3 linked regions of the Nothobranchius furzeri genome follow. The protein of the gene in region 1 purifies or fractionates together with the protein of each later gene. This does not show direct contact. Links are inferred from orthologs where the notes say so. Each region holds a gene or a part of one and is shown in the gene's direction. Other genes may lie near its edges.

What was found.
Region 2: the proteins of bag3 (region 1) and pdlim7 purify together in Homo sapiens (affinity purification with mass spectrometry; 3 studies listed by BioGRID and IntAct, counting the BioPlex papers as one, with this or other methods). This does not show direct contact. The link is inferred for Nothobranchius furzeri from reciprocal best matches to the Homo sapiens genes BAG3 and PDLIM7.
Region 3: the proteins of bag3 (region 1) and dnajb6b purify together in Homo sapiens (co-immunoprecipitation; 3 studies listed by BioGRID and IntAct, with this or other methods). This does not show direct contact. The link is inferred for Nothobranchius furzeri from reciprocal best matches to the Homo sapiens genes BAG3 and DNAJB6.

Annotation. Positions count from the first base shown.
Region 1 is NC_091752.1:5,543,179-5,547,349, reverse strand, and holds the start of bag3 (BAG family molecular chaperone regulator 3), read left to right. Parts: upstream 1-1,371; 5' UTR 1,372-1,399; coding exon 1,400-1,570; intron 1,571-4,171. Other genes in the region: tial1 (nucleolysin TIAR), read right to left, coding at 252-280. UniProt on the Homo sapiens protein: Co-chaperone and adapter protein that connects different classes of molecular chaperones including heat shock proteins 70 (HSP70s), e.g. HSPA1A/HSP70 or HSPA8/HSC70, and small heat shock proteins (sHSPs), e.g. HSPB8.
Region 2 is NC_091741.1:103,242,189-103,246,444, reverse strand, and holds the start of pdlim7 (PDZ and LIM domain protein 7), read left to right. Parts: upstream 1-1,456; 5' UTR 1,457-1,821; intron 1,822-2,422; exon of another isoform or gene 2,423-4,256. UniProt on the Homo sapiens protein: May function as a scaffold on which the coordinated assembly of proteins can occur. May play a role as an adapter that, via its PDZ domain, localizes LIM-binding proteins to actin filaments of both skeletal muscle and nonmuscle tissues.
Region 3 is NC_091747.1:47,512,833-47,516,977, reverse strand, and holds the start of dnajb6b (dnaJ homolog subfamily B member 6b), read left to right. Parts: upstream 1-1,345; 5' UTR 1,346-1,507; intron 1,508-4,145. UniProt on the Homo sapiens protein: Has a stimulatory effect on the ATPase activity of HSP70 in a dose-dependent and time-dependent manner and hence acts as a co-chaperone of HSP70. Plays an indispensable role in the organization of KRT8/KRT18 filaments.

The DNA of each region.
Region 1 (4,171 bases):
TACCAGCTAACGTTATATAAATATCCTCGTTTCCAATGTGAAACTGTTTAAGGTAATCCCTCATCTGAACTAACGTTTTTTTTAATCGTCGAAATATACGTGTTTTTGAACGCCTACTAATTAAAAACGTAAATTAACACTTAATATTGAACGTTGTCTACACTTGTTTTTTGGACATGTAGCTCAGTTAGCCGCTGCGTATGAGAAACCAAACGAAAGCTAGCTACCACGAAAACACTAAAAATACTTACAGGGTTCTGGGGTAACTTTCGTCGTCCATGACCAACACTGAACGTGACGTCGTAGAAAAAATATAAACTATTTGGTAATTAAAGGACGTAGACTGAGAGATAAACGCTGTAAACAACGAGCTAACTAGCTTAGAAAGCTAACCGGGCAACGTTTCTTACGTCACGCTGAGTGTGCTAACTGCGCCTGCGCATGAGCACCGAAAGGTCAACCCAAAGGGTCTGGGTCAACCTTTAGTTCGAAGCTATAAATGGCTTAATTTTATTCTGTAAGTTGAATTCACCGTGTGTAAATAGAAATTAATTGAATAAAACAGTTGATTCAGAGAATATAATGACTTATTTCCCTCTTGCTTTTCGAAAGCAACGCAATTTACGTAAAAGGCTTTTATTTTGAAGTCCATTACATGGGTACGCTCGTTTTGTATTTCGAGGTTTTCACGATTTGGACTCGAACAAAACAAGCATCGGTACTCATTTTTCACAAGGTTTTCCGAATTTTTAAACTTGATAATAGAAACAAGATGGGGTTCTTTTCCTCACAAAAATGACACACATTTTATAACAGACTAGATGACATACATATTTCTAATTTTAATCTCAGAAAGGAGCCAATATTCTACCCTTTCTCATAATTCTTACAATCTAAGAAATCTGAGAAAATAACTTTTTATCAGTGGCCTTAATTCTCCTCCGTAGATATTTATCAGAACGATAAATCATATTTGTTTCAAGTTCCTGGCGTTTTGTGTCTCCGCACCGATGCAGACGCATAAACAGGTTTAGCAGTTGCATCTCTAAGCAAATTGGATTGAGGGGAAAAACTGCTGTTCAAACCCCAGGTCTAATAGATTTGCGCATGCGTGAGTGAGAAGGTTTCAGGGTTATTACGTGATTCTGGGGTTGTTATTAAAGTAGAGCTGGTAATAGCTGCTCTCTGTAAACACCAACTATAACTAAATTAATGTAGTGTCTTTTGTTGGGGGGTGTCTGCGACACAAGAAGTAGCCGCCATGCCGCTGCTTCCAGCGCGGTCCGCCGCCCCCGACATTAACCCCGCTATTTCGAGAAACTTCCAGCCCACTTTCCTACGTCACTCGCAGGAATCTTTAAAGGGACCGCCGCCCATAAAAAATGTCTCAGTACTCGCCATGAACGCAGTGAAGACGCACTCTCCGACACTTGTGATGGCTGATAATGACATCGACCAGCTCCCCCTCGGATGGGAAGTCAAAATCGACCCTCACACTGGATGGCCCTTTTTCGTGGATCACAACAACCGGACGACAACCTGGAATGACCCGAGACACGACACCAAAAAGGTAACGGAGGCGGGATAAAGTTGTTTCAACGGGTTTCCGTAGGGTGCTGCGTCGGTTACGGATTGTGTTAAGCTGCTGGAGTCGCTACGCTACATGGCTGTTTTGTGTTAATCTTGTTGACTGTAGGCCTTGTTAGGTCCCGTCGCCTCCCCCTCACTGACTGCTCATAAGCCTAATAAAACGGGTGATCAGCCCCGTTATGTTCCCGAGTCATGATCTAACACTATTATTACCCGATGACTCACTGCCGAGTGTCAAGGCTTTCTGATACCAGCGTTAATTTAGGTGGAAAACTCATTATAAACTTTTTTACCCACAAAATAAAATGCAGTTGGGTCCCATTCCATTTAGGATATTGAATCTGGTTGTTTAGATGTGGAAATGTAGAAATCTACAGGTCTGTAATCAAATCCGTGGGCTGACGTGAGCTCCACAGGCTGCCAGCTGGGTAATCTTTCTTCATAGGGACAGACACTGTTTTCCAAAGTTAGTGTCCTGAGGAATCTGCTAGAAAGACACAGCTGTTGAGGGATAAAATTGGTGCATTGGACCAGGCAGAGGGCAAAGGGTCGTTCACGGCTATTTCTCAACTTTTGCTGGAGGATTATCAATAGTTCACACATTAATGCCCTGCTTGTAGTTGTATTTTATTTATTTTTTATTATCTCAGCTGCATGGGGCACTTTCAGTGTTGGTGTTTGATCATTCTGAGGCTTATGTAAAAAAAGTATTTGCACCTTTACAGATTTCTTCTGCTTTTGTTCTTTTTGTTGTCACGCATAAATGTTTCAGATCAGCAAAGACAAAATGCAGTTTTCAGATGAAGACTTCAAGTTCTCTTAACCAATAACTCTGAACACTCTTGGACAGAGGCGGCACCAGGACATTTTCATGGGGGACAAGATTGGGGGGCCAAGGAAAATTTAAGGGTGGCACATCAAACTAGTTCTCTTGGTAACTCTTGAGTTTTTTAGCCTGTAGCTGTGCTCTGCATCCTCATCCATTCTTAAAAAATATGCAGCAGAAATGTTATATTTGAGAAAATAAGAAACTTCAAATATTTAATTTATTCATACTTTAACATTTACTTTTTAGTAGTTTAGAACAGCTGGATGTATCTGTCGCTGTCTTAATGAATGCATTTTACAAAACAGATTGATATTTGTACTTCTTCTTGAAAATGGTGCACAGCAGCAACATATTAATTTGTTTACTTATTTCTATATTTGTAAGGTTTTACATTTTATTAAAGAAGACTAATGTATAGTTTTGTGAACATAAATATTGAACATAAATATGATTTATTAAAGGAGGTTGGAGAGTGGAAGTGCTCTGAGGTGGCCAGCAATTTTCCAGGATTGGTCAAGGCCCCCCTCTGGCCACCACTTGGGGGCGCCACTGTTCTTGAAGGCAACAACTGCAATTAAAGAGACGGTGTGTATTTTTCCTGGCGATAGGGGGCAGTAGATACATAAATCGTTGCAAGCAAGCAGTATTTTTGTGTTTGAGTAACCCCAAAATTCCACTATCTCCGCTCCGGCACGAACTCTGCAGCAAAAACGGTCCCGTTGTAGTCAATCAGAGCTGTTCCACTACTGCGGCCGTGCGGCGCAGTGAGCCGTTCCGCCATCCGGCAAAAATGGATTGATTCTATTTTTGCCGGACGCCGGAGCACCTCCGCAGTCAAAGGACAGAAATCACAATCGCCCAACAGGAAAGGGAGCAAGCACAACTTCCGTTATTTCACAATAAATCGATAAACAAAAAACGTTTTTTGTTTCATATGCACATGTTTAACAACTTTTAACAACTATCAATGGCGGTTGAACTTTAAATGCACAACATAAGCCATAAATACAGTTTCTACTATCAAAGTAGTCACACTTTGTTGATCCAAACACTGCTGATCTCTCAACACAAATGATGGGCAGATTAAACAGTTCATTTCGATGCTTCCCCCACACAACGGGTGTTTGGATCTAACTTCCAACGAGCATTTATTGCTCGGACTGTATCGCAAGATCTCGAAAATCCAGCGCATGCCTGTTTGCGCACCTCAGGTCTCTGCACCGGAGCGGAGCCGTTGTAGAGCGGGTACCAGTAAAAATTGAGTTCGGAAGCGAGCGGCTGCGGAAAGCGACAGATGCTCATTAGGGTCAAAAAGCCCTGGGGAGTGCAAACTTTAGTAAAATGACAAGCACATCAGACTCCCTTTAATCAGTGGCAACAAGTGAAGAGGTAAATGTGTAAAACAACATTTAAGAATGACAAAAGTTTTGTAACTGTTTGTTACAAATCAGTAAATGCAATTTGTCCTCACGGGCTCCCTTAGAAGGAAACTTGACATCTAATATGGAGTCACCCAGAGACTTAGACCCACTCCCATGTATTTTAGACCTGATTTTTATGGTTATTATACAAAGCCGTCAATCATTTTCAACAACTGGGCATCATTCCATTAATTTAACGACATTTTGATGGATATTTCCAGAAATGAATGATTAAAAACTACACATTGTCTCTTTAAGCTCAAGAACAACGAGTCAATCTCTTTAAGAGTCTCACTTGGAAATCACCTATACGTTATATAAAGGGGAAAGT
Region 2 (4,256 bases), on another chromosome or scaffold:
AGGTAAGGTAAGGAAATGCCATCAGAGGAGCCGTCTGCCCCGGCAGCATCAGGTCTTCCACAGCAACTAAGTCAGGGCGCTCAGAGGAGGGAGAGCATATACCCCAACTTCCACTCAAACACCACCTGTAGAGCGCCCAGGAAGCAACAGTCGAACACCGCCCCTGGGGCAGAGGGCTCCTACAGAGAAAACACTGTATTAAATTGAGTAAAAATATGAAAATAAAAGAGATAATATAAATCACTAAAGTAAGAAAATAAATGATAAATAAAATATATGGAGAGTAAAATAATACTATAATTAAATCAATGCTTAGTGATGTGAGGTCAAACTCAGTTCAGAAGAGTGAGGTGAATGCTCACTTCACTCTCCTGTGCCGCTCAGAATGGCCAATTCAATTTGAATTATGAAACACTTTATGCAGGGCAGGCATGAAAAAGACAAATCAGTTCCTCTTTCTTTATCCTTTTCATTAAGTCACAGAATGGGCAATGAAGAAGAAGAAAATTAAAAAGCAGTTTAGAGGATTGTTATATCATTTTAATTGTGAGTCACACTAAGCAGTTGTAAAAAGAAAATGAAAATGCATTTCTGCTAATATATTTTAATTTTCAGATTTGACATTTCAAATAGAATTTTGTTACACATTTGCTGGAGTGTTATTTGAAAATTAGTTCTCAAATGCCTTTTTCTTTAGCATTTTCATGAAGTCACAGAATGGGCAATGATAAATAAGAAAATTAAAAAGCAGTTTTGAGAAATGCTTTTTCATTTTGATTGTGTCACACTAAGCAGTTGTGTAGTGAATATGAAAAAGCATTTCTTCTAATGCAGTTTAATTTTCAAATTTGACATTTCAAATAGAATTTTGTTACTTTTTGCTAGAGTGTTATTGGAAAATTACATCTTAAATGTTTTTTTCTTTATCCTTTTCATTAAGTCACAGAACAAGCAATGATGAAGAAGAAAATGAAAAAGCAGTTTAGAGGACTGCTATATCATTTTAATTGTGAGTCACACTAAGCAGTTGTAAAGTGAAAATGAAAATGCATTTTTGCTAACGCAGTTTAATTTTCAGATTTGACATTTCAAATTGAATTGTTACACATTTACTGGAGTGTTATTTGAAAATTAGTCCTCAAATGTTTTTTTCTTTATACTTTTCATGAAGTCACAGAATAAGCAATGATGAAGAAGAAAATTAAAAAGCAGTTTGGAAGATTGCTCATTAATTTTATTTATGAGTCAAATTTGGCAGTGGTAATATAAAATGAAATATCATTTCTGCTACTGCATAATAATAAGAGTTTTGTTACACATACGCTTCCATAAAACTGCACTTTAGCGAGAGAACACGGGTTTCTGCAAAATGAAAAAGCCAATCATAGGAGAGCCTTTCTAGGCTATGAGAGGCGAGAAAGGCGGGACCTTCCTTGGACATCCTACGATTCCAAATTACGCATGTGACAACGTCTATGTTGTTACACAGAAGCTAACATTGTTCGAGGCTTGGAGGATTACGCTCATTGCAATATTGCAATGACTTGGGGTCAGCACGGCCTCTCATCCCGGTTGAGGACAATAACATATTTTGCTGACCAGACATTGGGGCTTCTTGTAGCCCGGGATCACGTGACCGGTGACGTTCCAGAAGCCTCATGCTAAAAGGAATTTCAGAACTTCATCGTTCAGCAGGAGTAACCGTGGCGGCCCCTTTAAGAGGTTTGAGACGTTCCGGACAAAGTAACTATTTATTCATCATTCGGCAAAAAAACAACAACCATACTAGTGAAGTCTGTCGGAACTAGTGAGGGCAACGAGGTAAGCGTTTTTAAACCTCCTTCCTGACCGGAACAGCGTCTACATACTGTTTTAACGAACTTGACGCAGTTGTCAACCATTGACGTATTCCCCCCCCCCCCCCCCCCGTTTCAGTTCTTTTGCCTGTTTTTTGTTAACTTATGAGTTTTCTAGTTTATTATCCTGTCTGTTGTGTCGCTAAGTGTTCCCAGCATGAAGCTTCATTAACACTCGTATTAAAGGGACATTGTGTAGTTTTTATCATTAGTCTCTAGAAATAGCCATCGAAATGTTGTTGTAAACTAATTAAAAGATGCCCGGTTGTTGAAAAATATTGGCGGTTTCTTAACATATAACCATATAAATATGTTTTAAAATATTTCGGAGCGAGTCTAAGGGTGTTTCTCAATGAGGAACCTCGTCTTGGTCCCAGGTTGCCTAGGAGATACGTCATCAGAAACTGCCAAGGCCTGTTCCACTGGGTGTTTCTCAGTGCCAAGGCGCCTGGCCTTGTAAGGTGATGTCTTGCGACGCCAGGCGCCTTGCTTACGAGGACACTGTCCATCCTTGGTCAAAGAAAACGGTTAAATGGAACAGACTTGCATCACGTGACCACGGCTTACATGGCGGTCATGGGAGAAAACGTTATATTCTACCGAGGCGTCTGTTCTTCGTTTGTTAGCCATTTAGCTAGCTGAGCAAGGATACACAAGAGGTGTCTTGTAGGTTACCTTGGTCAAAATATTCCCAGAATACAGCGTGATATTTTCAAAAGGATGGCGGATAAGAAGCCGGCAACTACTTCAGGGGCAAATTTCAAGTTTAAATCAAAGATACTTTTATTAACCCCAGAGGGAATTAACATGTAAGTCAAATCATTGTAGTGATCGGGCTGATATCTAAAATGTTATTTTTTTTCAATCCAAAGAAGTTGTCTATGGTTGGTTAGTTGTTTAGTAGTTGCAGCTTTGGTGGCTAGCAGGTAGTAACTCACAAATATATACACACTTTAAAAAGTAAAAGGTTCATTATATATTTATATTGAAACATATGCGCATAAAATATAACGTTTTCTCCTGTGTCATGTGGTGCAAGTCTGTTCCATTGAACCGTTTTCTTTGACCAAGGAAGGACAGTGTCTTTGTAAGCAAGGCGCCTGGCCTCGCAAGGCCAGGTGAAACACCCCCAAAGTCTCTGGGCAATGCCATATTGGATGCCATGTTTCATGCTACGAAAGGGCGTAAGAAAAAAACACATTTACTGATTTATATCAAATGGTTAAAAAACTTCCACCAATAATAAACGTTGTTATTTTACACATTTACTTCTTCACTCTTGGCGGTGATGAAAGGGAATCTGATGTGCTTGTCATTTTGCTGGAGTTTGCAATCCCTGGGATTTTTTACCCTAATGGCCATCTGTTGGTAAGGTCTTATTTGAACACAAAAATAATGCATACTTGCAGTGATTTAGGTACGTACTGCCCCCTATCATCAGGGAAAATAAACACTCTCATTAAAAACATTGAAAAGTCTAAAAGCTGTTAACTCCCGTGCATATCTTGGCTTCATTGGTACACAATGGGGCATTATAATTATAAATCAATTGAGTTTTTTTTACATTAGACCAAAATGAACTGAAACATTAACTATGAGCACTGTGATGTATTATTTTTGTACATTTAATTGCAGCACTATGATCATCATCAAGCTAAGCTGTTTAAAAGAGCTTATCATTTTGTAATGTGGTGTGAGAAAATCTATTTCATGTTTTAAGCAGTTTTCATCACAAATATGTGCAGCTTTTGGAGTTTTATTCAGAGTGATGCTTTTTGGTAGCTGAAACTCTAGAAGGCACATATTCTGACTTCTATTGAGAATATTGACCCTAACCCTAAATAGTTCAAAGTTGGTGCCAAAGCCATTTTAAACGAGCTATCGCCATCTTAGTTTCGCTCAGTGTCAATAAGAATCCGCCCACCAAACTGAGAGTGCTGTGATTGGCACGCCACCAGACTGGTTATGGGCTCCAGAGGTTCCAGTGGAGCGTGGCTAGACCGACATGCAGAGCAAAATCATTTTGCTTCTGCTACCGTCTGTCTAGATTTCTAGACTGGGGTCCTCAGCTTGTTGCTTACTTTTTATTAGATCAAAACTGATTTTTATTAATCAACTTTATTATCTATGAGTACACCACTGTTTCAGTGTCACTAAAAAGGAGCTGCAATGGGGCTTATATGATTTGATGTTTTAAATCTAATTGTGGGTTTGGTTTGTGATTTGCTTCGAACTATCCTGAAAGACGGTAGACTTCCATGGCTTGAGTTGTCTTTCTCCTGGATCTCCAGTACATATACGAAACAAACCAAGTGAAAAAGTTGATATGTGATGGACCTTTGCCTGAGTTTTGGTATAGTTGATGTTGCTCCCCACCCCCCAGGCCTGTGACTCATGTGG
Region 3 (4,145 bases), on another chromosome or scaffold:
TGTGAAGCAGCTGCAGCTTGTTCAGAATGCTGCTAGAGTCTTAACAAGAACTAAAAGAATGGAGCACATCACTCCTGTTCTTAGATGCCTACACTGGTTACCAGTAAACAACAGAAAAGATTTCAAAGTGCTCCTACTAGTTTATAAATCACTCAATGTCATAGGACCAAAATACATGTCTGATCTCATTCGTGAAATGCCTTGAGACGACTCTTGTCATGATTTGGCGCTATATCAAACTTGAATTGAACTTGAATTTCTGTATACACTCCCAATAGGGCTCTGATATCCTTAGGAAACACCCAGCTGGTAGAACCACGGGTCAGAACAAAACATGATGGAGATATAGTTACTATGCTGCTCACATATGGAATCAGCTTCCCCATGACCTCAGATGTGCCCCAACCCTACTGTTGTTTAAAACAAAAGTAAAAACCCTAATGTACTCATCAGCCTTTAAATGAATTGTTTCCTATGCTGCGTCATCTCCACTGTGATCTGCCCTGTAACTTTGTCTTCTCCTTTAGCTCTAAACTGTAATTCCATTTGTGTGTATTTTAATTTGTGTTTTCATGTCATGCCTTGTTAATTGTAAAGCACATTGAACTGCCTCTGTGTTTGAAATGTGCTCAATAAATTAAGCTGCCTTGCCTAGAATCTTCCGGTGCGTGTCCGTGATATAGCAACAATTGCTCAACGTGGACTCATTTAGAAGAACTGCAGTACCCAAATTTGATCACAGGATGTTGAAGAAATCTGTAAGTGGCAAAATACCCTTTTAGAACACTGTGGGTGACTTAGAAAAAAACAACAACAACCATATAGCAGAAAAATCAACCAAAGCTTCACAGTGGTGGCTTTCAACTCCTTTCACCAATAGTAATGTTATTACTTCAGCAGACGACAGAGGGCGCACAAGGCAAGTTTGTGTCACCTAAACATTTTGAGACAAAGGTTGTTGTCCTCAAACAAAACTAATCTTTTATCAACGTCATTTGAATAGCTTGATATTGCATTTACACTTTACATCAACGGGATTTACACAATTAGCTGCCCTCTACCGGGGCAGGTTCGGTGAAAACAGACAAAAACGCTGATTTCCACGTTGAAAGACGTGCTACCTTGATAGACCCTCGTAAGAACAAAGATTAGAAAACAATAAATAACAGTTTCTGACACGTGGTTCGACTATTCATAGTCTTATTTGCATGTTATTTGTATCCATAATCTTAAAAAAGAAGATATTTAAACAATCTACAAAAAGAAACGGGAACATATAAATAAAAATAATAATAATAAAAACCCGCAAGTGTCATGGTGCATGATGTGATTTCCTACTGCACGTGAATGCAGCATTCCTAGTAGTGGGCAAGGCCAGATATATCTTTCAGCTCCACCATCAATAACCAGCCACCTCTACTTACAGACACAGTTTGTACTCTTAAACGGAAATAGTTTGAACCACATCAACAGAGAGGCTATTGGGGTGGATATTGCCTTTATTCTGGTAAGCATTTCTTGATTTAGACGAAAGTCAACACAGTACGAGGGTTCAGTAAAAAGCGGTGAAAGCCTCTTCTGCCGCATAGTCTCATGCTGGGGGTGCTGTGCGGCTCTGCTATGTGCTAATCGTCGACGGTAATGTTTCATAATTCATAAGACGTTTAATATAAGTTAAAGTCGTGCTGATTATTAATCCGCCCGTGATCGCGTGTTAGTGATATTCAGATGTACCGGCTAATGGTAAGCTAATCTAGCTATTCGTGGTAGCTGCCAACCAGAGAATAAGGCAGTGCTACAGTTAGCCTCATTTTAAAACGACTTTTTAAACAGTATCCCATAATAATGTTTTTGTGCTCGTCAGGATAATCATTTTTATTTAGCGTCATAGTGTCGTAAGGAATTGTGTACTGCTAACGTTAGCTGAATTTTGTTTTGTACAACAGTACAATTTTTCCAAGTTTTCGATAGTTTATTGGTAGATTCATTTTTGAAGTGTTTTGTTCCTAAACTGCGAAATAAACTGAGTTTCTGGAAGTTTTTCCAAATCCTGAGAAGTTTACACAAGTTGCCACATCACTTAGCAGCGTGATTGGACCTTTAACTTCCCAAATTTAGCATAAACACGCGAATGGCAACAAAATGTTTAAAAGTAATTTTGTTTATTAGAAATAAAGATTTTTTAAAATTAGATAATGATGTTTTGAGTGTCAAATGGAACGGCTATATTCTGAAAAATGTTTCCCCAGTGTTGTTTTATATCAATTTGAATGCCCATCAAAAAAAACTACAGTGTTTAAAAAAACCTACACTGTTTTAAACTGCGTTATTCTTATACAGATGAGCTCACATCTAATTAGAATTTGTTTTATTTTTGCTGATTAATACAAAAAAGTAATTTTATGTGGATGTCAAAGTTTTATCTTAAAAAGCTGAGAAACAATTTATTTATTTTTGAAAATGATCGCTTTAACAAACAGGCTGAACTTGAAAATGGTCTTCTACCTCTATTTCCTGCATTATATTTTGATGGAAAATAAACGAAAGAATGCTCAGTTCAGAAAAACCTGACAGATCTATGTCATGCTGTTACTTAACATGAATGGACCCACCCATCTTGGCTCACGAAGAGGAAGGCTGTTGTTGGTTTAGCATCTAGGAAACAGCAGAGAATATTCAGCTAGTAGAAGCTATCACTGGCATTTCCACAGCATAGCAAAACTCTTCCAGGCTTATTTGTGGAGATCAAATCAATCATCAATGTTGCAAAGCAATCAGAGTCAATGGTAGAGTTGCACTGCTGTTGGCCAATCAGAGAACAAATGTCCAAATATCAGGAAATAAGACTCCAAATCCTGTTGTCTGAAGCTACTTTCTCCACTGGCTAACTTCTAAGTCCTCACACAGATGCACTATAGCTTTTTTTGCTCCAGGGAACAACTTACAAGGCACCCATTTCTACTAGGATTCCCTACAAATGTATTAAAAATATGAGTAAAGTTGACCTTTAAAATTTCAGTAAACATTGGTTTCAGATAAAAGTGCTTAATGTTGATTTTCTTTCGGGATTATCACAGTTATCACAAGATACCAGAAGCCATGAATGTTCTGGAGTCAGCAACGTTCTGTGAAAATAACTGGATTATTTTTTCTTTTCTGTGTAAAAGTTATACATGTTTACTATTTTACCCTTTCTAGGTAGCTTCCGTGGCGGCCTTGATTTGCAGGACTAATTAGACTTCATTCACGATGCATAACGTAATTATTTGCATGGAATTTCCGTCAAAGATTTATAAATGGTGTTTGCATGAACCTCTATAACATTTTGTAGCTGTTTAAGGATGGCAGCAAAACTCTTGAGTCTCTGCTTGCTTGTTGTCCAGGAAACTTTCTACAGTGGATAATACAATTATTTATAACTTTGAAACACAGTTTAGGATTCCCCACTCAAAAATAAACCTTTTAAGGTACTTTCAGATCAGCTTCCTGTCTTACGGAGTAGGTCTTTTTCCATTATTCATACAGTCTGTGGTTAAAATCAAGACTTCATAAACTAGTCCTGAGTTTGACTGCTTGATGAGACACTATACGCTTTTACTGTTTAGAGATGAATTTGTACCTTTTAGTTTGTTCCTGCACATGAAATGTTTATTTATTGTTTATTTATTGCTATTGTAGTTGTAACTTTTCCACATACTGATTATTTTCTTCAAGGCATCTTATATTCAAATCCACCTAAACGGGCTCCTGTTCATGAGCCCATTCTGTAAATTCTCTTGTTGCTGTAAATCATGTCAGGTGAGGGAACCTGCTTGTTATTGCATCGTTCTAAGCCACTAGTCGTTTTTCTTCCTTCACTTATGATTTATGTTAAGACCTTGCTGCTCCTAGTCTGTTTGTCCACTACTCTGGTCTTGTTAACATCAGGGTCTGATGTTCTCTTGCTCTTGACAAATCTCTTCTAGCTGTCCTATTACATTGTAATCATGGAGTTGGTAAAAGAAAAGAAAATAGGCACGGGATCTTGCAAAATTGCAAAGTAAATCACATGTATAGAACTTGGGTGAGGCTTTTTACTTTTTCAACAATTTTTTCAACTTTCACATCGTTAAAAAATGGACTTTTGATTTGGTCATGGTTATGTA